Linked DNA regions of Rhinolophus ferrumequinum. The protein of the gene in region 2 interacts with the protein of the main gene of each other region in a pairwise test. Links are inferred from orthologs where the notes say so. Each region holds a gene or a part of one and is shown on either strand. Other genes may lie near its edges.

Region 1 (6,428 bases), on a different chromosome or scaffold from region 2:
AAACACACACCTTCATTTCCAGGGAAAGCCTCAGCCCCCGACCCCCCATGAGATAAGGATGCTCATGGACCTGGAAGGGGGTAGTTCTAGATTCAAAAAGTGCCTCCTGAGGCAGCTCACAAGCCAGCTCTGAAGAGCTGGCTCCCCGGGGCGCCATCCCAGGTTCTGACTGGCTGCTTAAGGGACGAGTCAAGGGAACAGTCCAGGGGCTTTGGACTGACATCCACAGGGCCTCCTGCTGGCCCAAAGCTTGGCCACATGGGACCAGGTTGAGACTCACATGCACCTTCTCTAACTTGACTCTCTGCTGGACCTTGTGGAGAAAGAACTGCAATCACCTCCGAATCTGCATGTGAGCAAGTAGACATGTGCAGTTTGGAAGAGGTGTGTGTGCCACCTCCTGGCTTCTGAGAGCATGTGGTCTAGATGAAAAGATGACCCTTTGGTTTCTCTACCTCCCCCCCATCAAGAGCCTACTGAGCCAGCAGCCCTTGGCAAGCAACACACCTAGTACAAAATGGGAGAAATACATTAAATTATTAACTTGCTGGCAAGAAAGACAAGCATCACAGTGCCACCGGGGAGGGGCTAATGAAAGCACTGGGACCCCTGCAGTCTGCAAAAGGTGCCAGGGTCAGGTCAGTTCCTGGGATTCATGCTGCAGCTTGGGCCAGAGATGTGAACACTGTCCCTCCAGGTGGGGGAATGAGAGCGGCTCCTGTCACTCGGCCTTCATGACACAGGAAGTTGAAAGTGGCACAGGCATTGGGCTGCAAAGAAAAAGCCAGCATGAGCTGGGCTAGGGCTAGGTCTGGGCTCCCCTCAGCCCGCCCAAGTCCCGGCACTGACCGTGTCCTGCACTTCCACAGCGATACCCCGCTGCCTCATGGCTCGCAGCACCTGGGACTGCAGCCGCTCAGTCCGGTCTCCAGTGCCGACCACAACAATCTCTAGGAAAGGATGGGCAGTTAGTCTGCAACCAGGTCTGCTGATGGGCTGGGGAGGGGGTGGCTCTGTGGGGCTCAGAGCACCTCAGCCTCTTCAATACCTATTCGCGGCTCCAGCATCCAGAAGAGAGAGAAGCTTTCTTCCGTGATGTCCTCGTGGGACCCTACCTGTGTGGGGAAGAGGCACGTTAAATACAACAAATCCACAGAGCTTTCCCCACAGACCTCCACAACGGACCCACGATAAAGCTAAGTTGCCCGGGGCAGAATCCCGCAACCCTGGGGCTCTGGCCCTCAGATTCCTCACTGCAGGGAAGGGCTCACGTTCCACTGCACCACCGAGTGCGGGAGAAGCGCGCAGGGCCCAAACACGCGATTTCCGTTGACCACGAAGCCGCGGCTGCTATAGCTGTCGACGTACATAGTGTGCGAGGACTCGCGTTGCAACAGAGAGATACGTGTCCGCTGATACAGCTCGTCATCCGCGGGAGTGAGCCGGTGCCCACGCCGTGGGGCCCTGCGGAGGGGTACAGTCAGGGTCTAGGCCAGGAGGTGCGGGGCCGGGGGCCGCCGGCCGAGGCGGACGGGGTGGTCAGGGACGCTGGAGCCGGGCTCACCATAGCAGATCGGCTGGCGGACAACGGAGAGCGGGTCGCGCTCGGTACAGGGCGCGAAGCACGAACGAGGAGACCATGGCGAAACCGCGCGCAGTGTCAGCGGGGTCGTAGCGGAGCCCAGCACAGCGCGGCTACAGCGCCCCCTGCGTCGCGGAGGGCGCCGCGCAGCCCGGCCGGCCCAGCGCGGGAGCCGGCCCGTGCCATCTGTCCCAGAAAGGCGCGTCCCCCAGCGCGGCTCCGGTGTCTGCATCTGCTTCCCGCCCGCCCCGGGCCCCCGCAGACCGTCCTGGGGGAGCCAGACACCTGGCGGTGGGGTCGACCTCAGGGCACTGCCTGGGCCCCAGCCGCGGCCTGGCTGCCGGCTCTCAGCCGTTACACAGGGCTTTGGGGGCCCGGGCGGGGCGGCCGCGCACCTGGCCCAGTCCCGAACACCTGGCTAGGGCGTGGTGCCCGTCTCCAAGCCCCTAATCCCGGCTTTGGGGCGTCGGGTTCCGAGGGCGGGGCGGACTGCTCAGGTTTCCCCCGCTCGCCGCTGAATCACACCCCTCCCCAACCGTCACCCGCGCGACCGTTGCCGTCGCCTCCGCGCGCCGCACGGGGCGTGGCCGTGCGTGGATTGGCTTTCCGGGAGCGAGAGGGGGCGTGCCCGTCTGGTTTCGCCTTAAAATGGCTCCAGTCTGCGGCCAGAGGTAGCGGAAGGGGACGCCGTGATAGGGCAATTGTAGCTGTCCGGGTGGGACCGACCGGGCCGAACCGGACCAGACATTGAACTAAACAGCGGCTGGAGCATCGCTCTGTCCTCGCTCACTCTGCTCGCGTCCCGAGAATCCCCCGTCCCCGGTTTGAGCCGAATCAGAGGGCCTACTGGCGCCCGCGCGGTGTTCGGACATCGCGCGCCCACGGTGTCGGGGCCTCAGGGGAACGTTGCGGCGTCTGCTATCCGCGGGGGCGGGCGGGCAGCTCGGCACAGATGAGGACGGTCGCAGTGGATTCCCAGGGGTCCCGTCGCCGCCTTACGGGCCCACTGGGGCCCCTAGCGCTCTGGGCGCTGGCAGCTTCACCGGACAAAGGGCCCCGGGTGCGGGGGTGTCCCCAAGGCGGGCGCGCGGGTTTACTTCCTCCTCGGCCCCACGGGCGCGCTTCTCTCTTGCCTGTCCCGAAGCCCGCCCCGCCACCGTCACCGCACAAGTGGCTCTGGCTGCATGAGACCAGCAGGACCAATCCTACCCCGCAGATCTAATCCGGATCGGGACTCGGTCCCAGGGGAGGTCCCCACCGCCCCTGCTATTGTTTGGGGGCCCAGGTGAGCTCCTCGTTCCCACTAGCCTCGGTTTCACTGCCTACTCCTAGGTCTGCCTCCTGGGCCTGGGTAAGGGGGGTTCTAATCTGGCCCCAGGGCGAGGGACCCCTCCCCCCAACGGCTGGACAGCGGGCAACGGAATCCCAAAAGCAGCTGTTGTCTCCAGAGCATTCCAGCTGCGCTTGGATTTCGTTCCCTGCTCTCCTGCCTGAGCAGCGTCCTGGTCCAGATGGGATGGTCGAGCCCCTGAGCCCCAGACATACTTCACTGGATCGTTCTGGTCTCCGTCCCTCTCTCAGGTGCGCCTTCATGCTGGAATTGACGGGCGTAGACGTCTGAGAGCCTGGGAGGTGGCCATCTCCGGAACCCGGGGTAGCACTGGTGAGGGAGGGAGGACCCAAGTCCTCCATATAGGGCTGCAATGGCGGTGAGTCCCACAGGGCTGCCCCAGCCCGCAGCTCGCTAAAGATAGCCCTTCACTTCCTGGGGAAAAACCACCTAAACCGTCTTCGTATACGGAGAGTAGCTGAAGTCCCCAGCTGGGCCTCCAGGCTCAACCCTGTTAACTGTCCCCGAGGCGCACGCCTGCGGCATAGAAAGCGCTTTGGAATGACACGATCACTCCCGTTGAGTGGGCACCGAAGAAGCCATCGGGAATGTCGTGTCCGCCCAGTGCTCTTTCGGCGCCTCCCAGGAGGGCCTTGAAGCCCTGGCCCACAGAGGGGCTTTGCCAAGCTTTTCCTGCCTCTACGGTCCCCTCCCTTCTGAGTTCTGGGCACTGTCACTGCTCCAGGGCAGAGATCACTGTTTTCCCAGCACTCTGTGCTGTGTCAGGGAAAAGGGGATTTAAGTTACATTGAAGTGAAAACATAGGGGACAGGAAAGAACTTTCTCTTGGGCAGAGGAGTGGGAAGCTCCAGCTGGGCTGCCCTTTAGCTGGCTCTTCTCATGGTCACAGTGTTTAGTTGGCCCACAATGGCTCGTTGCATAAACCAGGAAGCAGGAGGTCCCTGTTAAAGTACACCAGGTTAAAGGAGAAAGCTTTCAAAAGCCGGAAATTCTGGAAACCGTCATGATGGCTTTAATTCCTCAAGAATCAAGACGAGAAAACTGGCAATTCTATCAGTGGGAATAAAGACAACCCATGTTCTAAAGTAGGAAATGCAAATAACCTGAAACCGCGGAACACAAATTCTTTTTAAAATGAGATTTATTTATTTTTTTTAGTAGCTCGTGAAGGTGGCATTAATGGTTCGCTGCCCTATTCCGGTGACAATTCGTTTGGAACTTTAAACATTTTGTTCATGTGTAAAATGGGGAAATGAAACGCAGACTTCGATAAGAGCAAGAGTCCCCACCAAGTCGCGAGGATCCTTTCCCTGGTTGGTAACGAAGAACCGTAGGTCCCGGAGGACTCCGAGATTTCGGACCCGGGACCAAGCAGGGCAGGTGGGCCACGCCGGGGCAGTCTGTCGAAAGCAGCCGCTACTGTTTCCCCTGGTGCACCTGCCCACTCGGGCCGGATCTCCGTCCCCGCCAGTCGGTCTTCCCGGAAGTTCGACCTCCCGATATTTTGCTTCCGCTTCCTCCTGCTCCTTCCGGTCGTCATGGCGACGGGGCGCCTTGGGGTAGAAGAGACTCTGGGGGCCCTTAACGCGGCCCTGGGACCTGGCGGCCCCGTGTGGTTCAAGGAGACGCGCTCCCGCCACCTACGTGCCCGCGACTTCCTGGCGCCGCGGCGGGCGCTGGAGGCGCGCTTCGGGGACGGACAGGTGGGCACGGGCCGGACGGGGACGGTCTGCCAGGGGTAGCTGGGAGTCCCGCGGCCCGCTCACCCGCCTGTCCTTACGCAGGTGCCCGAGCGTGTGTTCCATGCGGTGAGCGACCTGCAGGGCCCCGGCGTGGCTCCCGTGCTGCGCTGCGCTCCGACCCCCGCAGGCCTAGCGCTCCAGCTGCAGCGGTCGGCTGTCTTCGAGCGCGTGCTCGGCGCCGTGGAGGCCTATGCTGCGCCCGCCGCACCCGCCACGCCGGGCCCGCGCGTCCTCCTCCACTGCTCGGCGCTGCGTGCCGCCCCCTGCGCGCTCCGCCTGAGCCAGCTGCGGGTGATACTCGTGGCCGATCACCTGGCGCGAGCTCTGCATGCTCACGGGTGAGCGGGGACGCGAGACCAAAGGGCGTGGCCCTTGGGGACTGGCTGCACCTGGTGGGAATAGGGGTGAATCGGGCCAGCTGCTCGGGCTGAAGCGGCCACCCTCGCTTCGCAGGGTGAGTGTGCGCCTAGTGCCCGCTGTGCGGGATCCGCACATGTCGACCTTCCTGCAGCAGCTGTGGGTGGACTGGCCTGCTACCTCGGAGCGAGCCGAGACCGAATCCTTGAGGAGCCGCGCACTGGCAGAGCTTAGCCCTGCCGATGACAGGGGAGCCCTGCCCCCTGGCGTTCTGGGCAGTGTGTGCCTGAAGAATCTGTTGGAAGAACGGGGACGCGCAGCTGGCTATGACCCCAATCTGGACAACTGTCTGGGTAGGACCTGGAGCCTATTTAGGGCCAGAAAGGCGGGGACCCCTGCAGTCCTGGCTAGTCCCAGCCTGTGTGTTCCCTCTGCAGTGACTGACGATTTGCTCTCCGTGCTGGCTGAGCTGAGGGCAGCCCTGCTGCACTGGCCTGAGGTAGGTTCCTGAGGCTTGGTGAGTGGCTGACACCACACCCTGTAGGCAGGCCTCCAGCAAAGCAGGTGTTCTGTCCCTGCAGTGACTGTCCTCCTCCCCCACAGGCCGGTGCCGACAGCTGCATGGTGGTACATGTGGTGAGCTGTGAGGAGGAGTTCCAGCAACAAAAATTGGACCTGCTTTGGTGGAAGCTGGATGATCAGGCTCCTCTCATACAGGTTAGTGATGGCAGAGCTCCCCTGAAAACCCATCCAGGGGCCTGCCAGCTGACAGGTCCAGACGGGGACACTTGACCTTGGAGAAACATTGGGCTTGGTGAACGGGCACGTGCAACAGGTGGAGTCCTGGGAGAAGGTGGGGTGGGTCTGGAGGCACATCCCGGAGGACGTTAAATCGCTAGACTGAGTCCTGAGGGGCTGAGCTTGAGAGGGAGGCACTCCGCCTGGTGGTAAAAGGCTGGGGGAGTCCAAGCACCAGATTTCAGTTCCTTGAGGGTTTTATTACTGGAAGGTGTCGCCTGCTGGCTGAGCCCCTGCTATTTTCCTGACAGAAGCACCTGGTCTGTGGCTCAGTGAAAGTAGCTGGTACACCCGGCACCCTGACTGCCCCCGAGTACTACGAGTGAGTGAGGCCAGAAGGCCACCAAGCCAGGGTAGTTGACGTGGGGACTCTGGCCACTGGCCCCCTTCTCACTCTTTTCAAAATGTAGGCTCCGGCACATGCAGGTCTGCAAGGCCTCGGCACTGAAGCACAGCAGGGACCTGACAGAAGGTGTACCTGGGAGGCCTGGCTGTGCATTGGGCAGGGCAAGGGCAGGTCATTTGCACCCCACCCCTTGTTCCTTGCCCATGAAGACTGACTGCTCCCAACTCCCTCAGACCCAGCCTGGACAGAAAC
Region 2 (7,643 bases):
CAGCCACAATGGCCTCCCCTCTCTCAGGCCCGTCACACCAATTCTGCCTTAGGACCTTCACACTGGCTACTCCCTCTGCCAGGCACACCTTTCTCCTGTGTACATGGCTGCCTCCTTTTAGTCACCCAGGTCTCAGCAGAAATGTTGCCACCTAAGTGGCCTGCCCTGACCACCCGGTCTAAAGAAATGCCCCCTCCTGTCACTCTCCCCTCTCCTCATACCCTACTTACTTCTCCAAAAACATTTGCATGAATAGATACCATTACGCAAGCGTTTTAAGGAAAAGTCACCAAATGCTCACAACCACCCCATGAGGGAACAACTACAACTGTCCCTTTTTTACTACTATGGAAACAGGGTCTCAGAGGATTTGTCACTGGCCTAGGAGTATCCCAAGGATTCTGGGAAGATCCTGTAGAGTTGGGACGCAAGCCCATTTGAAACCAGTATCACCACACCTCACTAGCAAACCGCTTCACTTGACAGCTGGAACAGGGTACCAATCTTATGCAAAGAAGGTATCTGAGATGAAAATGCCTGATGAAAAAGATAGTAAATAGGAAAAAGATAGTAGATAGGAAAGGGAAGAAAATGCGTGGGGGAGTGGGGAGAGTAGAGAGAAAGCAGAAGTGTTTTAAAGCAATTAGCCAAAATTCTCCTGATGATATTTCCGGGTTTTGTTTCCATGCTTCATCCCCTTGAATCCAGTTTGGGTCTCAGTCATTCCCCTGGACTCTGGCCCACTCCCTCCAAAGCTGGGAAGCTCTTTCACAATTAACTGAGTTCCTTGCCTGGCTTCCCACACCCTCAGGATGAAGTCCAACGCCTCACCCTGCCCACAGAATCCCATGAGCCATCAGTGCACGGCTCACTGGAAACTTCTCCTTGAGTCACAGGCGCACACACAACTATCTGTAGTTCTCAGAATGCCCTAGGCTCTTTTGTCCCTAGACACCTGTACATGCTGGTTCAGGTTAGGAACATTCTTCTCTCTCATCCTTATAAAATAAATACTATTTTTGATCCACAGTTAGTAATCTGTGTATGCAGAGGGCCGACTTAGGTTATACATGGATTTTCGACTGCATGGTCGGCACCCCTAATCCCTGCGTTCTTCAAGGGTCAACTGTACTGCTTCCTCTACCTGGAAAGCTTTTCTAAAATATCTTTTTTATGAAACTCAATGAAAGCCTCTTTCTCAGTGCCCAATCCCAGCCCTGTGCTTCCCCAATCATGGCCCTAGCTACTCTGGGCTATCACTGTCTGCTAGCAGGTCTCTCATCCCCACAGGATTTGTGGCTCCATAAAAGCAGGACCAGGACTGTTGCAGTCATCAGTGTATCCCCAGCACCACAGGATATTGCCTGAGCACCATGCTCTAAAAGCATATGGGTAACTTACACAGTTTATTTTGTTTTCAACAGCAATTTTACTGGTAACCTCAAATTTAATCCTATCAATCTCCTTTGGTTCTCCCCACAATGTTCCTGAAGTAATCATCAGAGCTAACATTTAACCAGCCCTTACTAATTGCTAGGTACCATGAAAAGCACTGCATGAACGCTTAGCTAATTTAATCCCTGTAACATCCATGCAAAGAAGGCATTATGGTTTTCAAATATAGAAAATGAGGTTCAATAAAAGTGGTAACTTGTTGAAGAAAATAAAAAAGTTATGTCTGATGTTAAGAATTAAGTGAAGCAGAATTCCACACTGGTGACCTCAACCACTTTTATATTTGCTGTGTGACCTTGGGCAAGTTACAGTTCCCTAATCTGAGAAATGGATTAGCTCCTACCTGCAGGGTTGTTGTGAACATTAAATGTAATCAAGATTTATATATCAGCGCCTCATATAGTGTTTGTTAGTCATCATTATTTATTTCATTTTCACTGCTGGCTGATCACTGAAAACACAACAGTGACCAAGCCAACTCCAGTTCTTGCCCTCATGGAGCTCACAGGCCAGTGGAGAGAGCCCCATGACAGCCCAGGCAATCAAGGCTTGAGGGGGTGGTCAGGGGTTAAGGTGGGACATCCAGGGCCCGTAGGATGGTAGAGGCAGGCACCTGAGGGGGTAGCAGATAGAGAAGCCTTCCAGGAGGAGGGCTCTTGTGAGCTAAAACCCTAAAGGATGAGCAACAGTGACTAGGTTAATGAGTAGAGCGTAAAATGAACTGGGAGAGTATTAAAGCCAGAGCAAGCAGCACGTGCAAAGGCCGATGTGTCAACATTTTGCCCTGGAGAACGCTGTGGAAAAGAAATAGCCGGCTTATAACGGACAGCATGGAGTCTGGACTCCCTCAAGAACTCACCATCCTTCTTGATCTTCTCATTGAGGTTATTGATATAAATAGTGTGGTTGGGGCGGGTCTCGGGAACTGCCATGGAGTAAGGTGCTGAGGTAGGGCTGAAAAAGAAGGAAAAACAGAACTTCAACCCTGAGTTTCTCCAAATCTCTTGTCCCAAAGCGGACTTAACGGACTGCTTAGATCTTAACGGATCTTCCTTCCAGGACGAGGTCAGGTAAGGCCGGGAGAAGGCAAGAGGAGAGCACTCGCTTTGTTAAGCAGTATACCGCGTGTCCCCCGCGCGTGGTGAGGGAAACCTCGAGGTTTACTACGAGTCCCAGGATGCTCTACGCGATTCAATAGACGGAGCGTCCTGACCGGCGATTCCCATTGGCCCATGAGCTCAAAGCCGGCCCAGGATAAAGAACCCAGATGTAAAAGCCAGTTAAGGAGGGGCGGCTTTGCGGCGGGAAAATAGTTTCCCTACACAAGGCTCAGGAACACCCAGGCGCCAAGCGCTCCGCTCACCCGATGCCGATGGCTACCTGCGCCCGAAATCACTCACCAACAGAGCCGCAGCTCCAGCAAGGGGTGCCTGCTACGTTTCTGAGCGCCGACCACGAAGCTTCCTCTTCTGGTTCCGCCTGTCTTTCTGCGACCCAACCACTGCACGTAAACTCGTTACGTTGACCAATCAGATTAAGTCTCGCCCCGATCTTACCAATCAAAGCTCGGCCCAGAAATTTGCCAATCAAAACGGCACTTGGGTTCCCGCCTCGTCAAGAAAACCCCGCCCACCCCCTGCAAGGCCTCCTGCCTTCTGCGGCGCTCCGGGCTACCGACCAATCTGTAAAGGCTGCGCCTCTAGCCAATCGGGACGTGGCTCGCGCTGCAGTCTCTTCCGGACGCAGTCCTTTGGAAGTCCCACTTCTCTCCCATCGCCCCGAGTTCTGTGTCACGTGATCGCTAAAGGGACGGGGCCCCGTGCGAGCCCTACCACGTGATAGGGGAAAGGGCGTGTGCGGCGGCCGCCATTTTGCGGGAAGTGGAGACGCGGTGCACCGTGACTCTTTTTCCTATTCCAGCGGTATCGCGGCTCCCTATCGCCTCCCACCTCTGAGCCTTGTTTATCCCACAGACTTTTCCTGTTGTGCTCTGATTCCAGGACCTTCACGACTAGGCCATTTAATCTGCCTGATGTCTTTTTGACCTCTAACTCAAAGGTCAGCTGGAAGGTTCCGAACTCGGGCCTGGGATGTGAGGAGGGACAGAGCCTAAAATTCTACTTAGTCTTTAACCCTGGGCCTCTAAAACCCACCCTTTAGGCGCCTCACCCCAGGTATGAGCCTTCATATTCCAAAATTGACCCCCAAGTTTCTAAGTCTAGCCCTGTATAATAAATGAATTCCTACTAAATCTTCAGCCTTGCAACCCAACTGCGTAACACAAATTTGATTTCTGGTCCTGTTTAAAGGGCCCCGCCCTGTTAATCTTCAGATCTTTCCTGATTTAAGTCAGCGCCAATCCCTGCTTCCATGGTTCCAAATTTTAACCCTGGTTCCTTCAATACCACTGCTCAGCCCCCCAGTTCCAGGACTGCACTCTAAAACCTTCAGAATCTCCATCCCTGAGACCACCAATTTTGGAGAATCCTTCACTCTCCCTTCCAGCCATACCTTAGACCCCAAAATGATTTCTCCATGTTTTCCTCCAGTAGAGACCCCAGTCCCTCCAAGACCTCTTGCATCCCAGGCCCCTATCATTCCACCTCCTCCCCCACCTCCGCATTCCCCCAATTTAGCCTTTCCACCCTCTCCCTCAAGTCTCCAGGCCCCTATTCCCCCACCACCCCCACTGCCACCTCCATCCTTTGCCACGGGGGCTGCTCCCCCTCATGTCTTCGGCCTGGAGAAGAGCCACCTTCTGAAAAAGGCCTTGGAGAAGGCCGGCCCAGTCCCCGGGAGCAGAGAGGACGTGAAGAGGCTCCTGAAGCTGCACAAGGACCGGTAGGGTGTCCGTGCCCCACCCCAGCCACCCAACCATCTTTCCCCAGATGGCTTCTGTCATCTCCTCTTGGGGTTTCCTACTTCGAGGTCAAACAGCCTGACTGCTTCAGCCCGCTCCTTAGACCCTTCAGTGGTTGTGTGTCTTTAGCCATGAAGAAAGATCCTCCTTCACAAACACAAGACCAGTGGGAGAGACAGATCCCTCCCTCCACCAGATGGTGACAGCCCAGAGTGGTCAGAGGGAGTGCTGACCCAGGCTGTGAGTCAGTGGGGCCTACGTGGAGAGGAGGACCCCTGAGTGCTGTTGAGCAAGTTATCAGGGTTATGTGATGAGAGTAACCAGCTTGTGCAGAGACCCAGAGTGAAATGAAGATAATGTGCTTTTTTTTTTTGTACGCAAATGTTTTTTTAAGCTGGGAAAGAGCAAACATGGGGTTTCATGGGTGGATCGGGCATGGGGGCCATGCAAAGGAAGGTGACTATCCTGAAGGTACCAGGAAGCAATGGGAGGGCTTTGTGTGGGGGAGGGAGGCCACTTAGTGGGAGTGGAGGTGGTGAGACTGGACTCTGGGTACAGGAAGAAGCTGGAGCACCCAGGGACCCAGGCAGGAGGTAAGGGGGCTAGACTTGGTTGGGACTCTAGGGACTCAGTTTAAAGATTGCCTGGCTAAGGGGAAGAGAAAGAAGTGAGTAGCCCAGACTCATAAGAAACTTCCAGTTTTCTAGGCAAGCTGATAATCTGCCCTAAATGCCTCAATTATAATGAGGCAAAATTAATGTAAATGAGAACACCCGTTGTTGTATGCTTAGCATATACCTGGCACTGTTCTAAGTGTTCTTAAGTACATATTTAATCCTCTCAGCAGCTCTGTGAAGTAGGAACTATTATCCCATTTTCCAGATGAGGAAACTGAGGCTCATAGAAGTGAAGTCACTTGGTTTCAGTGCTTAGTAAAGAGCCCAGTTTGAACTATGGCAAGGGGGCTCCATTTAAAAAAAAAAAAACACAAAACATTTTCCCCCTTTTTTCCACCTCCCGCCCCCACTGCGGTTCAGCCATTGTTTCTCAGTCTAGTTGTGTAGGGCATAGCTCCCTGGCCCATGCTGGGCTGAGGCAATCAGTCACCAGTCGCCAGCTCATGATGGCCAGCGGCAGCTCATGGCAGCACTGCTCACGGCAGCCCAGCTCCAGGGGAACTGTTGTTCACAATTTTAGCTGTAGAGGGCGCAGCTCACTGGCCCATGTGGGAATCGAACTGGTGACGTTGGTGTTAGGATCACGGTGCCCCAACCACCTGAGCCACCAGGCCAGCCCTCCATTCTTTTAAACACTATGCTGTTAGCTCCTTTCATTAGGAGGGCATCCCCTACACCAGCCTTGCGCTTTCACTATCACTATCCTTGGAATAGAAACAGGCACATCTCGCTTCCCCTCTTGTGCCCTGGATGGGGGAGGAATGAATTGGAGTCACCAAAACTGTCAGAGTGGCCTTCCCTAGGGTAGGACTGCGCAGGCCTACAAAGGACTAATTGTCAGGGTGATCTCTAGGCCTGGAGCTTGTTGTCTGGTTTTACTCAAGGCTGATTTAAGGGATTTTCACCTTATTTAACAACTTGAGAAATAGGCTGAAAGGGGAAAAATCAGTTTGAGTACAGAGACACGCCTTCAAGAAATTCCCTGTAATAAATCATTCTGGCTTCTAGTTGCAAAGCTTTTGTACGTCTGCTCTTAACCCCTTCAGTAACTACATAAGAGGAGCGAGGAGACGCAGGTAGAAGGGTCATTACTACTGAGCATATGAGGAAACTGAAGCTGGGGAGGGGAAGTGCCTCGGGTGAAGTGGGCAGTGACCCAGCCAGGAGCTGCCCTCAGGCCTCAGGGTGGCCAGGCCTGTGTTCCTGCTCTTCGCTGTCCTTTGGCACCCACTTCCAGCCAGGCCTCGGAGGGGACTCTAGGAGCTGGTTCCCGAGTGTGGCCCTGATTCAGTTTCAGAAGTGACCTGCAGTGGATCCTCTTCTGTGCCGACCTGCCCTCCTTCATCCAAGAAGGCCCTCAGTACGTTCCCTGAGCCAGAACCCAACCCTTTGGCTGGCCACGCATCAGTAACCCCTGCCTTTGCTGTGCTCCATGAGGCTTGACCTGGGAGGGTGTGGGGAGTGGGTTCATCTCATCCCAGGCAGAGCAGGGAGGACCGGGAGGGGAGGGGAGGAGAGAAAGAGGGGGACCTTATCAGTTCTGGACCCTGGGTGCATGCGCAGTAAACAGTTGGAACCAGTGAGCGAGTGAACACATGAACCTGGTCCATCATCTCTAACTCCACGTTGGCACCTACTCCTTCTGGAAGCCCAGGTGACATCTCTCCTTAGCCTTCCACCCCACCTGTAGCCCTCTGGCCCTAGGCCTAAGCCGTGGCCATTCACTCCCCCATGAAGAAGAGTCAGGTCTCCCCACCTGGGCTGGGAGAGGGGAGGGGAACTCCCTAGGACAGCCAACCTGTTCCCCACACTCCAGCTTCCAGGGCAGTGGGGGCCCAGTTAGGACATGACTGAGGTTGAGGGGCTGGGCCTGTGTCTCCCCAGGTGCGGACTGGTGGCCCTGTGGATGGCAGGCACTCTCCTGGCGCCCCTCAGCGGCATCCCCCTGGAGAGACTCATGCAGATGGCCGTGGAGAGAGGCTACTCGGCCCAGGGAGAGATGTTCTCAGGTGAGATGGGTGCAGAAGGCTCATAAGCCAGGCGTTCTTTACCAGGAAGGGACTGGGGAGGCGGGGTGCACGCCTGCCAGCAGGGGACCTTGTTCCCTTCCTCAGGCCCTTCTCCCCATCCAGCAGAACAGAGTGTTACAGGTAGACTCTGGAGCCAGGCTGCCTGCTCCCAGCCCAGCTCTGCCACCTCCTCCTCTGTGACCCTGGCCAAGCAGCTTACCCTCTGTGTGCCACATTTTCTGCATTTGCAGAAAGAGGTGATGGTGTCATGGTGAAGGTTAGAGGTGGTGATCCCTCACTCTGTCTGCTCTGTCCCTGCAGTGACCGACATGGGGAGGCTGGCCCAGGAGGCACTGGGATGCCAGGCAGAGCTGCTGTGTGGCGGCCTGGGTGGTCCCAACAGAGACCGTGTGCTGCAGCACCTTGTCGCTGGACACCCCTTGCTCGTCCCGTATCCCAGGGCAAGAAGGGAGCAGGCCTGGGTGGAGCAGGGTGGGCCCCGGGGCCACACACAGCTTTGGCCTTAACCCAGCACCAGCTACGATGAGGATTTCAACCACGAGCCGTGTCAGAAGAAGGGCCACAAGGCCCACTGGGCAGTGAGCACAGGTGGGTCCCCACTGTGTCCCTGTGCCCTCACCA
Region 3 (7,867 bases), on a different chromosome or scaffold from region 2:
ATAACACTAATAGAGTAAACCACATTAAAAAGAAAAAATATACATATTATTTAGAATGTATCACCCTCAACTAGTAGCCTCTAACATTTAAAACTCAAGTGGTTACTATTTCCAACCAGAGAGAAATGAACATTTGTTAGAGATAATGACATAATTGGAATTCTAGATTTGGAAGATTAAAATTATTGAAGCCAGAAAAATTATTGAGGTCAGAAACTTTCTAACAGAGAACCAACTCCGAATTATCATTTAGAGGTTTTAAGATCAACATAAAAGCAAAAGCGAAGAGCCTTTTAGAACTCAATTTACTTTTAAAAATAGTACGCATGAGGTGAAAATATTTCCAAACTTTTAAAAATAATCCCTTATGCCATTTGATTGAATTTAACATTTTAAAATTAAAAGAATGCAATTTAATCTTAAATATCATCATGGCCTATTTTCATTTTAACGACTATAAAGAATTCCTGCTAAACAACTGTACTTAAGGGGAAAAAAAAATCTTAACAGAAATTTTCACTAACACTGAGACAACTGTAACTTCACCAAAATATGCCAACTAAAAAATAGCGTATTATTTTTGAAATGTGATAAAATTGTCCCAATAATTTTAAAGTGTTTTCAATGTTTGTAACTACATATATGATTACAAAATGACAGATGAAATAATCTACTATGATTTAAATTTCAACTAAATTTAATATAGGTCAGATTATTGACATTACAGTTTGCTCCAAACATTTCTCGTTTTAAAAAAAATAACTGGCGCCCCTTAGCGCTCACATTTGGAAATACTCGATTTAAGAGTTCCAGCCTTTTTTTTTTTTTTTTTTTTTTTTTTGACATTCCAGAAAGTTTTCTGCCTCCACAATCTTTCAAATGCCAACACAAATAGGAAAAGCAGAACCCCTTAAAGGGACAGCTCAAGTTTTCTCTGGAGCAATTTGAAATTAAGAGATTTGCTGTTTCAACAGTGGGGGAAAAGACCATTTCAATAGCGGTTGCTGCTGCTTGTTTAACCTATGTAAGCAAAGACGAGGACTCAGTAATATCTGTTTTGTACTTTAAAAATTGTTTCTATGATTTTCAAGACAACGGAAAGCTCCTGGGATTCCTCTTTAACCATCTTTTATCACGGAAACATTTCCGGTCTTTTGTTCTTTAGTGACATGCCAAATCTCTAAGCTTGATTCCTTTTCCCCAGTTCTATACTGTAAAAATCACGAAATTCTTGTGAAAAATCTAAAATCCATTGTTCATCACTATTAAAGTTTTCAGTTTTCTTTAAACAGTCCTTCGGTGATGCTTCTAGACATAAAAAGAAACTCTTTGGTACTCGACTTTCAAAATAGACGTTTTTGTTGGTCATATTTTTTTCTCTAGTCCAAAAAATTCACAGCTACTAGATAGAGATTAATATTCCAGGTCAGGGCTGCAAGAACTTGTAAAGAAATTCTCGAGTTGGCCAAAATTGATCTTGTCATTCTTCACTCCCCGCGGCCCTACACGGATAAAGCTTTCTCTTTTTTTGCAAACTTTCACTAATTTTTATTTTCGCCCTTTCAAGTGCCTTGATTTCCTGTCCTACAAACCAAGGCAGCGGCGTCCTCGGGAGCAGCTCTCCGCCGAAGTTCTTTGAAACTCGGGATTCCGTTCAGCGTTTGTCCTCGCGGTATTTCGTATTCAACACCCCCCCCCCCACCCCAGTGAAGTTAAACTCCCGAACAGTTCTCTCGCTTCCCCAAACAAAAGGACAAAAAGTGCTTTCCGCTGTCATTTTGTCCTCGCCTTCGGCTAAATCAGCATTACTTTCGGTCTCCTATGGAATTCCTTTAAGTTAACGAGCCCCACGCGGCTCCCCCCGAGTATTTACAAGCTACACAAACTCCAAATCAGCAAAAGCCCCACTGGAATCTCCGTGTTAGGAGACCCCCACCCCGAGCGGCCCCGAGGCCGGTGTCCTTCAGGCGCCCGCGGGGCGCGGGGCCGGGCTCCTCCCCGGGAGGCCCGCGGAGCTCCGGGCCGTCGCGGTGCTCCCAGGCGCGGCTGGCAGCCGGGGGCGCGGGAGGCTCGCCGTGCAGCCTCCTCAGCGCAGCCCTCGGGCGGCGCGGGGCCCGGGGGCTGGGGGGCGTCCCGCCGGTGGGTCCCGCCCGCGCCGCCGACCCCCGCCCGCCCGCCGCGCCCCGGGCCTCGGCGCCGCCTCCGTGCGCCCCGCCCGGGCCTCACGGTCCCCGGGCGCACGGTCCCCTCTGGCCACGACCTTCCCGCCCTCCCCACACGCTGGCAGGAGCGCGTCGGGTCCCGGGAAGAGGGGCCGCCGCCCGGGCGCGGGCCGCGAGGGGCCGGGAGGCGACTCACCTTCGTCCAGCAGCCGCTCGAGGTGGTTGAAGATCCCGCAGAAGTTGGGCAGGCTGCTCATGAGCTTCTTGTCGTTCATCAGCTGCATCAGGTAATCTGGGGTGGGCTTCGGCTTCTCCTTCGTTTCCATTTCCCCGACCATATTCCAGGCTCCGCAGCTCACTCCGCCCGCCGCCGCCGGAGAGGAGGGAGGGGCGGGGAGCCCCGGCCGCCGGCCGCTCGGGACTCGGCGTCCCGCTCCGCTTCGCTCCCGCGCCGGGCGCTGGGGCGGCCGGACCGCGCGCTCGCCGCGCTCTCCCCGCCCCCGCAGGCACTTTCCGCCGCGGCCCGACGCGCTCCCGGCCCGCCGCCGCTTCTCGGCCGCCGGCTCGGCGCGTCCCTCACGAGGCCGGCGGGCGGGAGGCGGGTCTCCGCGGGCCGCTCGGGGCCGGACGAGGAAGAGCCGGGCCGCCGCCGCTCGCTCTGCTGGTCGCGCCCGCTCAGCCGCCGCCTGTGCCGCGGGCTCGGGGTCTCTCCGGGCTGGTCCCCGCCGCGGCCGCCTCTACCGTTGCCGCTGCAGCCGCGCTCTGACTCCGCTCCTCCTCTTCCTCCTCCTCTTTGCCGCCTCCTCCTCCTCACTCACTTGGCCGCGGAGTTCGCCTCAGTTCAGTCGGCGCTGCCAGCGGCGGCGGCGGCGGCGGCAGCGGGGGGAGGGGCGGCGGCGCAGGGAGGGCCGGGGGCGGGCGGCGGGCGGCGGGCGGGGCCGCGCAGGGCGGCCGTTAGCGGGGCGGCCGGCACGCTCCTCCTCCCGCCGCCGCACGCATCCCCCGGCCCAGGGGCCGCCGCCGCGCCGCGTCCCCCCCCGCGGGGTGGGCGACGGGAATGAGGCGGCGCACTGCGAGCCCGGCCTGGGCGCCGGGCCGGGGTCGCCGCCGCGGGCGGATGAGAGCGGCGGGAGGGGCCGGTGTAGGGCGGAGGGACCGACGTCCTGAGGAGGGCGCCGGGTGGCGGTGCTTTCGACTGGGGCGGGGGCGAGTGCCGCGCCGCCTCGCGCTCCCTGCCGCCTGGCCGGCTCGTCTGGCGGGCGCTGGCGGGCTGTGGCGTTAGGTGAGAGGGATTCCCAGCAGGACGCGCCAGGGCTGCGCTCGCCGCTGCCCGACCTCATCCTCTCCTCCCGTTACTATAGTTTTCTAAAAAGCTCTCATTCCTCCTCTCCTCCACCTCCCTCAACCCCCCAAATTTCTTTTATTTATTTATTTTTTTTAACGTCCTGTTGCTTCAAGGGGGACTTTCGGGGTGGGCGTCACGTGTCCCGACACGTAGCCGTAAGGTGCAAGGGCGCGTGCGCGTGTCGAGGCCTGCGGCCACGCCCCTTCCGAGGGTCGCCCCGCCCCCGCCCGGCTCCGTGAGCGAGGGGGAGGATGGGAGGGGCCTGCCGCGCGCCTGCGTGGGGAGGGGGCGCGCCCCCAGGGGGTAAGGGGGAGGGGTGTGCGGGCCCGGGTCTGCTGGCCCTGGTGTGGGGACCACAGCGAGGGGTGCGGGGCCCGTCGGACCCCGAACGGCCGGGACGGGGACGGGAAGCCGAGGAGGTCTTTGCTCCCAGGCCCCGGCTATAATGTTTGTGCGGCTCCGGGTCCGCCTCCGCGGGACTTGTTCGCGGTGGGCTCCGACTGCCGCGGTGTGGCTGAGAGGACCGCACGACGACTCCTAGTGTCCCCGCGGTCTTCTCCGGTTTTGAGAGCCGCGCGGCGGACGGAGTCTGAGGAGCGGCCGGTCTAGCGTAGGCGTCCCTCGTTGCCCCGACGGCGTTACTGCTGCCCGTGCAGTGACCTGTCCGAGCGGTGGGCGCGTCTGTGGGGACATGGTGTGCTTTGCTGCCGCATTCCGTTATTCCGAGAGCCAGCTATGGTCAGGAATGAGCTCCGCGGCGTTGGAAATTCTGAGCATCGAGAATGGCGTTTGCAATGTTCTGCTTCGTGATGGCAGCGGTATCCAGTAATAAAATGCAGCCACAGTAAAGAAATGAAACACAGAGCATATAGCCAATTTGAAAAGCGGAAGTCAACATTCTATTTGCAAACTTGCAAAAATTACCATGCAGTGGTCAAGAGGCTTTTCCCTGCAGTATGATGGATTTCAAATATTTAGGTTAGTTTAGGAAAGAATTTTCTGAACTACAACAATGTAGTAGTTCTCTTTGGTTTCTGCAATGTTATCAGTCACTAAATCTGCATTTTGTGACGTTCAATTAATAATTTAGATACAACTATTTGCTATCAAACTGACCATTGTGAGAGTTACCTGTACCTGAAATTTTCTGATAATCGTGTGTACTGTGTTTTAACTGGGAACCTAAGTGGGGGGGGGGGGGGGGGGGGTTGGGGTAAAATTTTGCTTCAAGCAAATTCTTAGGAACTTTTAAGATTGAGTTGCACTGAAGCTACTAAGTAAATTTCAAATAAATTCTCTTTGGCAAGTAACTTCTGGCCTGTTCATTTGAAGAACACAGTGAGTTTTTAAAATTAAGCTACTTTGATAGAGGAAATGCAATTGCCTTGGTGGACAAAGTTAACGTTTAACTCTCAAATAAGTTACCTGACATCCATTGCAGTTAATAGCGCCATAGAATATTCACATACTAATTATTTAAAGGATGAGTTATAAAAATGCAAGAAATAGTGATTTCATCAAAAAGCTGTTGTCTCTTTTAAAACTGAAGTAAGGTGTGCTTCTTCAATACCTAGCAAAATGATAAGTGGTTTGAAAGGGTTTGGGTAGTAAATTATTTATTTGATCTGCTAGTGTAAAAGATTCAGTCCCCCTTCTTAATTGGTTCACCTCCATATTAAACTCCTAGGTCCTGTGCTAAGTGCTTTACATGTGTATTATTTAATCTTCACTTCAACCTTGTGGCGTCGGTCATGCTGTTATCCCCATTTTATATAAGGGGAAACCAAGGAGAAGGAGGTTAAGTAACTGGCGCAGGACTGTAGCTCATGAGTCCTAGGTCTGGGATTCAAATCCACTTATATTTTACTCAAAGCCCATGTTCTTTGCACCCCAATAAGTCACACTGAACCTTTTGACAGTGTTTGACCATTTTTGACCCATAGAAACTGGAATATCATATGACTTCACCACGTACTTACTTATAGGAGGTGAACCAGATCAGAGTTAAAGAACCAAGACAGGCACTCTTTGGTAGTAAATCCCTATGGTTACAGCATTTGGCAATAGTAGTTACTCTGTATTAGCTTTTCAAATTCACATGGGTCACTTCACCTCTCTGCTCACAGTTCTTCAATGGTTTCCCCTCTCCAATAAAAAACCCGAAGTTCTTACCAAGGCCTGCTTACCAAGAGTCCATGTGCTCTGACCCCCTGCTGCTTCGCTGACCTTATGTCCACCCCTCTTCCCCTAGACCCTAAAATTCCCTCCCCTCCCCCATCCTTAAACAGGCAAAGCATTGGACACAGTGGGTGGCTAGTAAACATGCTTGGAGTATTCCTGACTAATTCTAGGGTGAAAATGCTCAAGGTGATTATGCCAAGGTCCCTTCCTGTAGTAGGTTTTTCTATCTGGATCTCTTTAAGAAAAAGGGGAAGTAAAATCCTCTTCCTGAGTTTGTTGGGCTGCGCACTGGGTGTTTCCTCTCCTTGCAGTTTTCCCCACACACCTGCAAGCCTGACTCCCACCCTTTCTCAGTTCTTGATGGGAGAAGGCTTCCCTTACCACAGCGTGCGCGCGCACACACAGACTGCTTACTCCCCTTTTAATTCTTTAAATAGCATTTATTTCCACCTGACACATTCTGTCTATGGGTAGGTTTGTCTGTCACCGACCCCTACACGGTAAGCTCCACAAGAGCAAGGACTCAATTTTGTTCTATTTGGAATTCCCAACACCTAGAACAGCATGTGGTATATGTTTGCACTCTTTAAAAATATGTTCAAAAAAGGTATTAAGTACTGTTATGTTCCAGGAACTATGCAAAACCCTTATCTACATTATTTCTTGTAATCAGTACAGCAGAGGTTTGAGACGGGCGTGAAGAGCCAGGTGCCTCATTGCACACAAGGCCACTATCCACAGTTCCCGTCCTTCTCTCCGTCACACTCCTGCCTCCGGCATTTGAGGTCTATAGTACACCACTCACTACCCAACATATAATAAGTGCAGTGAGAATACAAAAATCACTTGCCTTCAAGATGCTTAAAAATCTAAAAATTAATGTGGACTCTTCAATCACATTATTACAAACATATCGTAATACGACATTGACAAGTTACAACATACTCAGAATATATGTATGGGTAAGCTTCCAGTTGGAAAGATCCTTATAATGGTTTTTTGTCGTTGTGAAAAATTATGTCATTTAATATGTTGACACTAAAATGGTTCCATATCAAACATCAGTAATTAACCATGAGTGGGAATAATATTTTCTGTTCTAAATTTGATTTTCTATTTGCTTATTGCTATTCTTGACATTTAAATAGAGAATTATAGTATTCCACACTTTTTTTTCTTCATCACCATGGAGTTCTTGCAGGAATGCAAATATTCCTTGGATTTAAGAATCAGTCTTTGATGGCTTTTTGTCCCAAATGTTCTTTCTAAAAATCTTAAATCCTTAAATTTTCCTAGGAGGAAATGGGACATTCCCAGTATCTTTGTAAAGTCAATCTTTGTTTATTGTCTTAATAGATTTTTTGAGTCTCCTTTTAAATTGTGAGATGGCTTATCATTTCAAAGGTTGAAAAGGACACATTTTAAGTGTGAATATCTTAATCAATAAATATTTGAATACCTGTCTTCAATGAACCCTGGGGCACTTAGGAGCTAAGCTGAGGGTTAATATCACACACATATGACAAGTTAACTAATAAAAGTAAATGATATTATTATTCAGCTTTAGCTTCAGGTGTATACTGCAGTGCTCAGGCACCTACACCGTCCATGAAAAAAAAAGTAAATGAGAAAGACAAAATGCTGTAGGAATGGAAATGAGCACTGCCACTCCAGGCCTGGAAGCCTAAGCAGAACTGCCCCGGAGGTGGGTTTGATCTCAGGCTGGAAGAAACCATACAAGTGCTCAGGGAGGGCACTGACAAAAACTTGGAAAGTGGGACAGTCTGAGGCTTTAAGGTAGGAGTTTCCTCAACAGTAGTAGATGCCAGATTTTGGTTGGCCCTGAATTTCAAGCTAAAGTATTCATAGAGAAGAGACGTAGGAAGTTTCTTTTTTAATACAAGGAAATTAATCAATAAAATAGTACCATGGATTCCAGTCAGTGAGGCACATTTATATCTGATTGTGCAAACACAGCATTCATAAAATAAAAGGCACTGTTCTTCACAGCCATTCTAATGCTAATTGTGCTGCCTTTTTAAACCACTAACATGATGGCTGCAGATGTAATACTAACATTTAGCTTAAACCACTGCAGAGCAGTTAAATGTTAACTGACCGTGTCAGGTTTCTACTCATTTGACCCTAAATGAAACTTCAGAGGTAAAAATATTCTGAG
Region 4 (7,356 bases), on a different chromosome or scaffold from region 2:
AATGGGGGGGGAGAGAGGACAGTAAACCACTGTTCTATGAAGTCTCAGGAGGCAAGTGCTCAAGGTAAAAAAGAGTCCTGGAGGATCGCCGGCGGCTGCGGGAAGCATCTCGGGTTCCTTCTGTGTGTAAGTCCTTGGGGGGAAAGGCTGCCGCCGCTGCCACCGCTGCCGCCGCATTAAATAGTTATGTACATCGCAGAGTCCCAGGCCGTGGGCAGGTGGGGGAAGGGAGTCATTTCACCAGGGGCCGAGTTTTATCATCGTCGCCGCACTGGTGGGCTTTGTACTTTTTCACCTCTGCCATGTACTTTGCCCATGCATCACCTTTACTTGTTAATACCTGTGGGGTGGGGGGGCACAGGAGGTTGGGAAGGGGATGCCCGGGAGGCCAGAACTGGGATCAGGACTGTCCTGAGACAGCTGACCCACCCCCAGTGTCATCCCAGAGGTCCTAGGTTTGAGGTCAAGATATTCAGAGTCAAGTGATCTGGAGCCGTTGAAAGCCCTCCTCCCCCACCCAGTACCCACATCCAAGGCCCGGAGGCTAGACAGGGAGGGACAGGGCTCATTAGCCAGGTGCTGAGGCTGGAAAGGAAAGGCCACTTGGGCAGCCCCCCCGCACCCAACCTGCTCACCTCATCCTCCGTCTTCTGCTTCTTGGCTACTATTCCCGTCTTGAGGGCTAGTTTGTTCCCGCCTCTGCGCTTGCCCACCTGGGTGAAGGGACAGAAGACTGCAACGGTTACAGGAGCCGGGCCCGCCCTTGGCGGCGCTGAGGCCCACTACACCTTCCTAGCCCGGCCCGGTGGCCCGTCCCGACGCCGCGCCCAGCTCCGCCAGCCGGCCGACCTGCGCAGCAATCAGAGAGGAGCACACGCGACTCAGCGCCTGTCCTGGGCCCATGATGCCCAGGCAATCCTGGGCCCCCGGGGCTGCCTTCCCACGGAGTGAGAAGAACCCCCACATCCGTGGGGATGGACTCTGTCCTCACTCTCCATGCTAAATCCTCCCCCTCCCCTGGCAGTGACCATGCAGGCAGCAACATCTCCCTTTACTGAGCACTTACGGTATGCTAAGCCCTGTGCCAAATGCTTTGAATGTATCATCTCCTTTCACATTCACAGTTACCCTAAGATAGGTTATAACCATCCTCATTTTATAGATGAGGAAACATCTTCGAGAAGGTGAGGCCCCTACCCTTGGTCATCCTGGCAGCAAACAATGGAGCTGGTTCAGGGTCAGGTGGGTCCAAGCCACAGAGCAGCATCCGTAACGACTAAGCAACGCTATATCCCCTGCACCTAACTTGGCCTGGCCTGGCTTCTATAGGGTGCTCCAACAACAGCCCCTCAATGAACAAGGCTGTGACAACTACTGCTACTCCCACTCAAGGAGAGGTACTTGGCCTCTACACATTTCTTACACCATCCCAACCCAGGTACTGACATTTCCCTTTCCTCAAACAGAAGTCTCAGTCTGGACTTTCATCTTGGGCCTCCATCTTCTCCCATTGACTGAGGGCTGCAACAGTCTTCACAGGCATCATCTCCTCCCCTCAACCTGGCAGTAAGTGACCTGCCCTGCTGGGACTAGTCTCACCCATTTTTGGTGGATGATGAAACTTGACCCCCACTCCATTATTCTCGAGTCAACACTTTTTTCTTCACACCACAGGGACTTGATCTCAATACGAGACAAAGCAAGCTCAGAGTAGACCATCAATAAAGGTGCCATTTGTTTCAAGTTTCTCAATCTTGCAGTAATGACATTTTGAGATGGATCCTTCTTTGCTGGGGAATGGGGTGGGGGACAGCGAGGGCTGTCCTGTGCATTGTAGAATGTGGAGCAACATCCCTGGTCTCTACTCAGATGACAATAACACCCCACTCCCCCAGTTCTGACAACCAAAACTGCCTCCAAACTTTGCTAAATGGGGGGATCATCCCCAAATGAGAACCACTGGTTTAGCCCTTCCTATAAGCCAGGCCCCATGCTAACTAACAACTTTTCCAGGATGGCCTCACTGAACCCTCATCACATCAGAAGATGAGACAATGTCCATTTTTCCAAACAGAAAATATGAAGATAGGCCCAGATGCTCAGGAAAGCAGAGATCTTGTCTGTCATGTTCACCAGGGTATATCCAGCACCTAAGCACAATGCCCAGCACAAGGTAAGGTGCTCAATAAATGGACACTAACCGAAGGGGACTCAGGAAGTCAAGAAAATTTCCTAAGTCACACAGTAAGCGGTCTGAGTCTCTATTCCACACATCTTCGACTCCAGATTTGAATCTGCTCCCCTTCCGAATACTGGGAAATGGTCCCAGTACCCAAAGTTCGAGTACCACTAAATAGGAATCCTGGTTTCCCCAGCCTCGGCTCCCGGTTCTCGCGAGCAAGCTCCGGGGCTCTCCACGTCCACCCCCAAAACTCGCGCATCGGAAATCCAGGTTCCGCATCCTCAACGAGTGACCCGGATGGCCCCTTCATCGGGGTCGGAGGGTGGACCTGAATCCCGATCCCTTTTCTCGGGCCGATTCCCCCTGCCATGGCAGGCCCCGGCGCCCGCCCCCACCCCCGCGGCTCCTTACGAAGCTGAGCGTGGGGCCCGGGCCGCCCTTCCTCTTCGGATCCCCGGGACCCGCGGCGGCGGCGGTGGCCTGCTGGTCGGGTCGCGGCGGGCCCGGGGGCGGCTCCTCCTGCCGCTGCCGCTGCTCCTCCTCCATCTTCCGCTTGAACAGCTCGAGGAAGCTGCCGTCGTTGGCGAACAAGTTCACGCCGCCCGACACCGGGCTCGACATTTCTTCATCCCCGCTCTCGGGCGATGTCCCGGGCCCCGACTCAGCCCATCGGCTCCCGCCGCCGCCGCCCGCCGCGGGGCCCGGTGCCTCCCGGCCCGGAGGCTCCGCCCGTCTCCCTCGGGCAGCCATTTTGTCGCCAAGTGCCGCGCAAAGGACTCCGGGAAGGCCGCCTCGGCCCCGCGCTTGCCGCCGGACTTGCCGATCCCGAGCAATGCATGCCGGGAAGAACACTCTGACCCCCAAGCGCCGCGGTGGGGGCGGGGCCTGAGGGGCGGGACGAATGAGGGGTAAAACCTGACTGGCGGACCGGAGGGCCCCGCCCCGCGGACCTTTATAACCCTCTAGATTTGGGCAGGCGTTATGCGTGCAGGGTCTCCCCCGGAGTGGGACCGTCCTCTGGGGCTGTAGCCCTCACGGGACTGGAGGTGCATTAGCTTTACGGGGCTAGAACCTCCTTCTAGCACCAGGAATAATCTCAGTGAGGAGAGGTATCTCCTCTAAGGATGTGTACTCAACTGACACGTTGGAATCTAGGTCCCTAACTAAGTCTATAGAGGGTATCTAGCCTGGACCCCCCCCGGACTAGAAATGGAGGTGTCTGGGTTAGGTACCTGTCTCTGGGATGAAGCTCTCGTTTGGAAATGCGGACACCTAGCTAGCTCCGTGGAGCTGGGGTCCCCATCTGAGAATCAGGGTATTATTTTATGAGCTAGAATATTCAGAAGAAGCTTCTCAGGAGAAGGTATTTCCAAGCTGGGGTAACCCAGTTTATAGTTAAGAGTGTCCGCCAACCGCATGAGAGACCCATCTTGTATTCCTGCCCAGTGCAGAGGTTCAAACAGGGAATTCGCTGGAGTCTTCCCTTCCACAAAGATAAAAGTACTAAGAAGTTTTCGGGAATAGGGTCCCTTCGAAGACAAGAAGCGCGGTTGCAGGTCTGGTCCTTGCCCTGGTCTGCCCAGCATAGGGGTTCAGTGCGCACTGGACAAGGATCTGCAAATTTCGTCCAACCGGAGTCGTTCTCCCTGTAGCCCACTCAGCCCCGAGACAGGTTTTCAGCCAACTAATCAATTCATCTATGGTTGGTTAGCGTCAGGAGCCAGATGGATCACAGCCAATTGGATAAGAGGCGAAGGGCCTGAGAGGATGTTGTGATTCAGTTTGGAGAATAGGGGGGAAAAGATCGACAAGAAGTTGAGCCTATGGAGTCAGGCCAGGGCGGACCTGGGGTCTAACTTCAGGGCATGGACCGGGTGTTTGGCTGGTTGCTAAGGAGAGATTGGCGGCTACCAGGACCTGAGAGTGATTGGTGAAAGTAATAAAAGATGTAGCCAATGAAAAGAACGCTGCGAGACTTAGGGTCCAATCAGTGAAGGGGAGTATTCTGGAACGTACCAATATGTTAATTAGGCAGGGGGAGTCTCTGAGAAAACATAGACGAGAGATCGACAAGGTGAACCCTGGAAGAGGAGGACTTTGGAAATATAGCTTCTGTCAGCTCCTAAAAGTAATGCCATGGGGAAATTAACTCGGGTTGCTAGCCCTGATGGGGATATAACAGAGAATTTCCCCTGTTGGTACTTTGCGTGGTGCGCTCCGCTCGATCACGTGAGCCGGTTCCAAGATGGCGGCAGGGGTAGCCGGTTGGGGGGTTGAGGCAGAGGAGTTCGAGGATGCCCCTGATGTGGAGCCGCTGGAGCCCACGCTTAGCAACATCATCGAGCAGCGCAGCCTTAAGTGGATCTTCGTCGGGGGCAAGGGTGGTGTTGGCAAGACCACCTGCAGGTAAAGAGGCTGCAGCGTGGGCCGGGAAGATGGGTGGGATCTTCCCATCCCACCCATCTGGGCGAAGGGGAGGCTAGGGATCGCTCTTCGACCCCGAGCTGAGCACGGGGGTTGGGCCGGGGTCTTCCGGGTTGCACTCTCCAGAAGTTACCTGGAGCAAATGGAAGAGACCTCCTGAATGCGGGCCTGGCACCCTCTGGGAAATCATCCCCGTTGTGGTTCAAGGGCGGGACCACACTGAACCCAACGCTCGGGGGCCAGGAGAGCACTTAACTGTCCCAGTCAGCTGTGGACCAGAGTGAGCTCAAAGTATAGGGAGGGACACACGGGGGCAAACTATTCTAGTCTGAGTGAACCTTGCCATTCTATGCCCACGTGGAGATAGAAGGCAAGGGCACATGATCAGATTGTCCCAGTCAACTGGGAGGAGAGGGTGGGGTCCCTGGGGCAAATTATCCTGGACAATTGGTTTGAACCATCCTCAGTTTAGCAGGAAGTGCAGGGGACCCCTTAGCTTAGAATTGAGGAGATACAAGGGACTCCTTAACTATGCTGGCTGGACAGCTGGACCATGACTCTCTGTGCCAGGAGAGAGTAGTGAAGAAGCAAGCATCAAGCCATACTGAACCTCACCATGCTAGCCAGCTGAAGGGGTCAGTAGGTGAGGTCTGAGAGGGTACTTCTGCAAAGATTGAGACTTAATTCCACAATTAGCCATATTCTCGAGGCCCGGCCAGCTTCTGGGCCCCACATCTTTCCATGCAGACCTAGGGAGCAGAGCCTAACCCCTCACTCCTTGCCTTTTGACCTTTCCCTTGCCCAGCTGCAGCCTGGCAGTCCAGCTATCCAAGGGGCGGGAAAGTGTTCTGATCATCTCCACTGACCCAGCCCACAACATCTCGGATGCATTTGACCAGAAGTTCTCCAAGGTGCCCACCAAGGTCAAAGGCTATGACAACCTCTTCGCCATGGTGAGTGGAACAGGGCTCAGCTCCCTATTCAAGCAAAGGCCCGTTCAGGCCTTTCCTGTGAACACCTACCATCAGCGACAATGTGCTGCCCGTTCTACATCCTCTGTCTAGTTTCATTCCTTCTTCCACATACCCAGAGGGGAACAAGTGAGGAATGTTTGTGGAGCGGAAAGGAAGCCACAGTGACCAGAACTTAGCAATGAGCAAAGGGAGGGAGACGTCAGAGAGTTGTGGGACCTTATAGGCCACTGGGAGCAGTTTGGCTTTGATTCCAAGTGTAATGGGAAGCTGTTCATTTTAAGCAGGGCACTGTCATGGCCAAATTAATTTTTCAAGAAGTTCCCTGTGGCTGCCATGTGGGGTTTGAATTGTAAGTCGAGGATGGCAGCAAGGAGCCTAGGGCAGTGACTAGGCAAGAGATGATGACAGCTGGAACTCGGGTGTGGGGCAGAATGTTGGGGGAGACATGGTTAAGTTTGGGATGTATTTTGGAAGTATAGCAATATGACTGCTTGGTTGCGATGGGTGAAGGAAAAAAATGGATTAAGTACGTCTCTCAATTGGCTCCTGAGCATCAGGGATGGGGGAGACTAGGAGAGAAGCAGGTTTAGAAGGGACAAATCAGGAATTCTGTTTTGACCATGGTGAATCCAAGGTTTCCACTGGACATCAAGTGGACACAGCAGGATAGTGGCCTTTGGCATTGATTTGGAAGTCATTGTCCCAAAGGTGGTATTTAAAGCTGTGAGTGGAGGAGAATGTGAGAGAACAGAGAGGCCCAGAAACAACCTGAGGTCACATCATCATTTAGGGTCCAGCAATGCAGGAACCACCACTGAAGTGAGAGAAAAGCCAGAGGGTGTGGGCTCCTAAGCTCCAGAGGACAAAGGACTTGGGCAGGAAGAGGTTGTCGGCTCCAGTAGGCGCATCAGTTTTAGAGAGACCACCCTAGAAGTGGGGGCAAAAGCCTGCCTGGAGTGGGTGAGCTGAGGAGGTGGAGACAGGGATTGGGGCCCGCCATGATAGGGGCTAAGAAATGGGGCCATCACTGGAGGGATATGGGAGAAGAGTTATGGAAGGCTTTTTTTTTTTTTTTTTTTAACTTTTTAAATTGATTTTAAGTGTGTTTTTCCAGGACCCATCAGCTCCAAGTCAAGTAGTTGTTTCAATCTAGTTGTGGAGGGCACAGCTCACAGTGCCCCATGTGGGGATCGAACCAGCAACCTTGTTAAGAGCACCGCGCTCTAACCAACTGAGCTAACCGGCTGCCCCCTGGAAGGCTTTTTTGAGAAAAGAGATGCTAGAGCATGATTTTTTTGCTAACACAAATGCTCCAATAGGGAGGGATAGGTAATGTTGCAGGAGGGAGCCGGGATGCTGGCAGAGGATGGTCCTCAGGTGGGCATGAGCTCCATCCAGCACACAGACCCAGGACTTGGACTACGCCAGGGCCAGGGACTCAAAGGCAAGGCCAGGGGTATGGAGTATTTCCGGGGGGCGGGGGGGGTGGCGATGAGGGTATTGGCAGCCAGCGGCTTTCTTTCTCACTGAGGCACAGATGAGGCACAGATCTCAGCAGGGAGCAAGAAGCGAATGGGGCAGAAGGGCTTTGAGGAAGGATAAGATGTGACATCAACACTCCCAAGGGTGGATTGTCTGGCCGTCAAATGCCTGTTGGAGATTTGTGATCAGGAATACGGAGCAAGGTGGAAGTCATTCGTCAGGCGTGTTCCCCTGCTACTCACCTCAGTGCAGTCATACCAGAGAGCCAGGATGGGGATTTTTGCAAAACACAGA

Evidence for each region.
Region 1: the proteins of SNRPA (region 2) and NDUFAF3 interact in binary tests that used the Homo sapiens proteins (3 or more experiments, as listed by UniProt). The two-hybrid records come from large-scale screens. The link is inferred for Rhinolophus ferrumequinum from reciprocal best matches to the Homo sapiens genes SNRPA and NDUFAF3.
Region 3: the proteins of SNRPA (region 2) and QKI interact in binary tests that used the Homo sapiens proteins (3 or more experiments, as listed by UniProt). The link is inferred for Rhinolophus ferrumequinum from reciprocal best matches to the Homo sapiens genes SNRPA and QKI.
Region 4: the proteins of SNRPA (region 2) and TRIR interact in binary tests that used the Homo sapiens proteins (3 or more experiments, as listed by UniProt). The link is inferred for Rhinolophus ferrumequinum from reciprocal best matches to the Homo sapiens genes SNRPA and TRIR.

The regions. Positions count from the first base shown.
Region 1 is NC_046300.1:7,226,949-7,233,376, forward strand, and holds NDUFAF3 (NADH dehydrogenase [ubiquinone] 1 alpha subcomplex assembly factor 3), read right to left. Parts: upstream 2,097-6,428; 5' UTR 1,642-2,096; coding exon 1,565-1,641; intron 1,465-1,564; coding exon 1,272-1,464; intron 1,116-1,271; coding exon 1,049-1,115; intron 951-1,048; coding exon 850-950; intron 771-849; coding exon 654-770; 3' UTR 519-653; downstream 1-518. Other genes in the region: DALRD3 (DALR anticodon-binding domain-containing protein 3), read left to right, coding at 4,472-4,636, 4,718-5,013, 5,129-5,385, 5,470-5,531, 5,636-5,749, 6,082-6,152, 6,241-6,302, 6,410-6,428. UniProt on the Homo sapiens protein: Essential factor for the assembly of mitochondrial NADH:ubiquinone oxidoreductase complex (complex I).
Region 2 is NC_046298.1:39,328,474-39,336,116, reverse strand, and holds the start of SNRPA (U1 small nuclear ribonucleoprotein A), read right to left. Parts: upstream 3,012-7,643; 5' UTR 2,856-3,011; intron 2,410-2,855; 5' UTR 2,388-2,409; coding exon 2,315-2,387; intron 1-2,314. Other genes in the region: ACTMAP (UPF0692 protein C19orf54 homolog), read left to right, coding at 3,980-4,296, 6,284-6,352, 6,877-7,001, 7,323-7,452, 7,540-7,610. UniProt on the Homo sapiens protein: Component of the spliceosomal U1 snRNP, which is essential for recognition of the pre-mRNA 5' splice-site and the subsequent assembly of the spliceosome. U1 snRNP is the first snRNP to interact with pre-mRNA.
Region 3 is NC_046286.1:103,614,431-103,622,297, reverse strand, and holds the start of QKI (KH domain-containing RNA-binding protein QKI), read right to left. Parts: upstream 3,002-7,867; 5' UTR 2,501-3,001; coding exon 2,359-2,500; exon of another isoform or gene 2,311-2,358; intron 1-2,310. UniProt on the Homo sapiens protein: RNA reader protein, which recognizes and binds specific RNAs, thereby regulating RNA metabolic processes, such as pre-mRNA splicing, circular RNA (circRNA) formation, mRNA export, mRNA stability and/or translation.
Region 4 is NC_046301.1:48,815,037-48,822,392, reverse strand, and holds the start of TRIR (telomerase RNA component interacting RNase), read right to left. Parts: upstream 3,015-7,356; 5' UTR 2,933-3,014; coding exon 2,594-2,932; intron 714-2,593; coding exon 636-713; intron 341-635; coding exon 233-340; 3' UTR 1-232. Other genes in the region: ATPase GET3, read left to right, coding at 4,428-4,588, 5,412-5,559. UniProt on the Homo sapiens protein: Exoribonuclease that is part of the telomerase RNA 3' end processing complex and which has the ability to cleave all four unpaired RNA nucleotides from the 5' end or 3' end with higher efficiency for purine bases.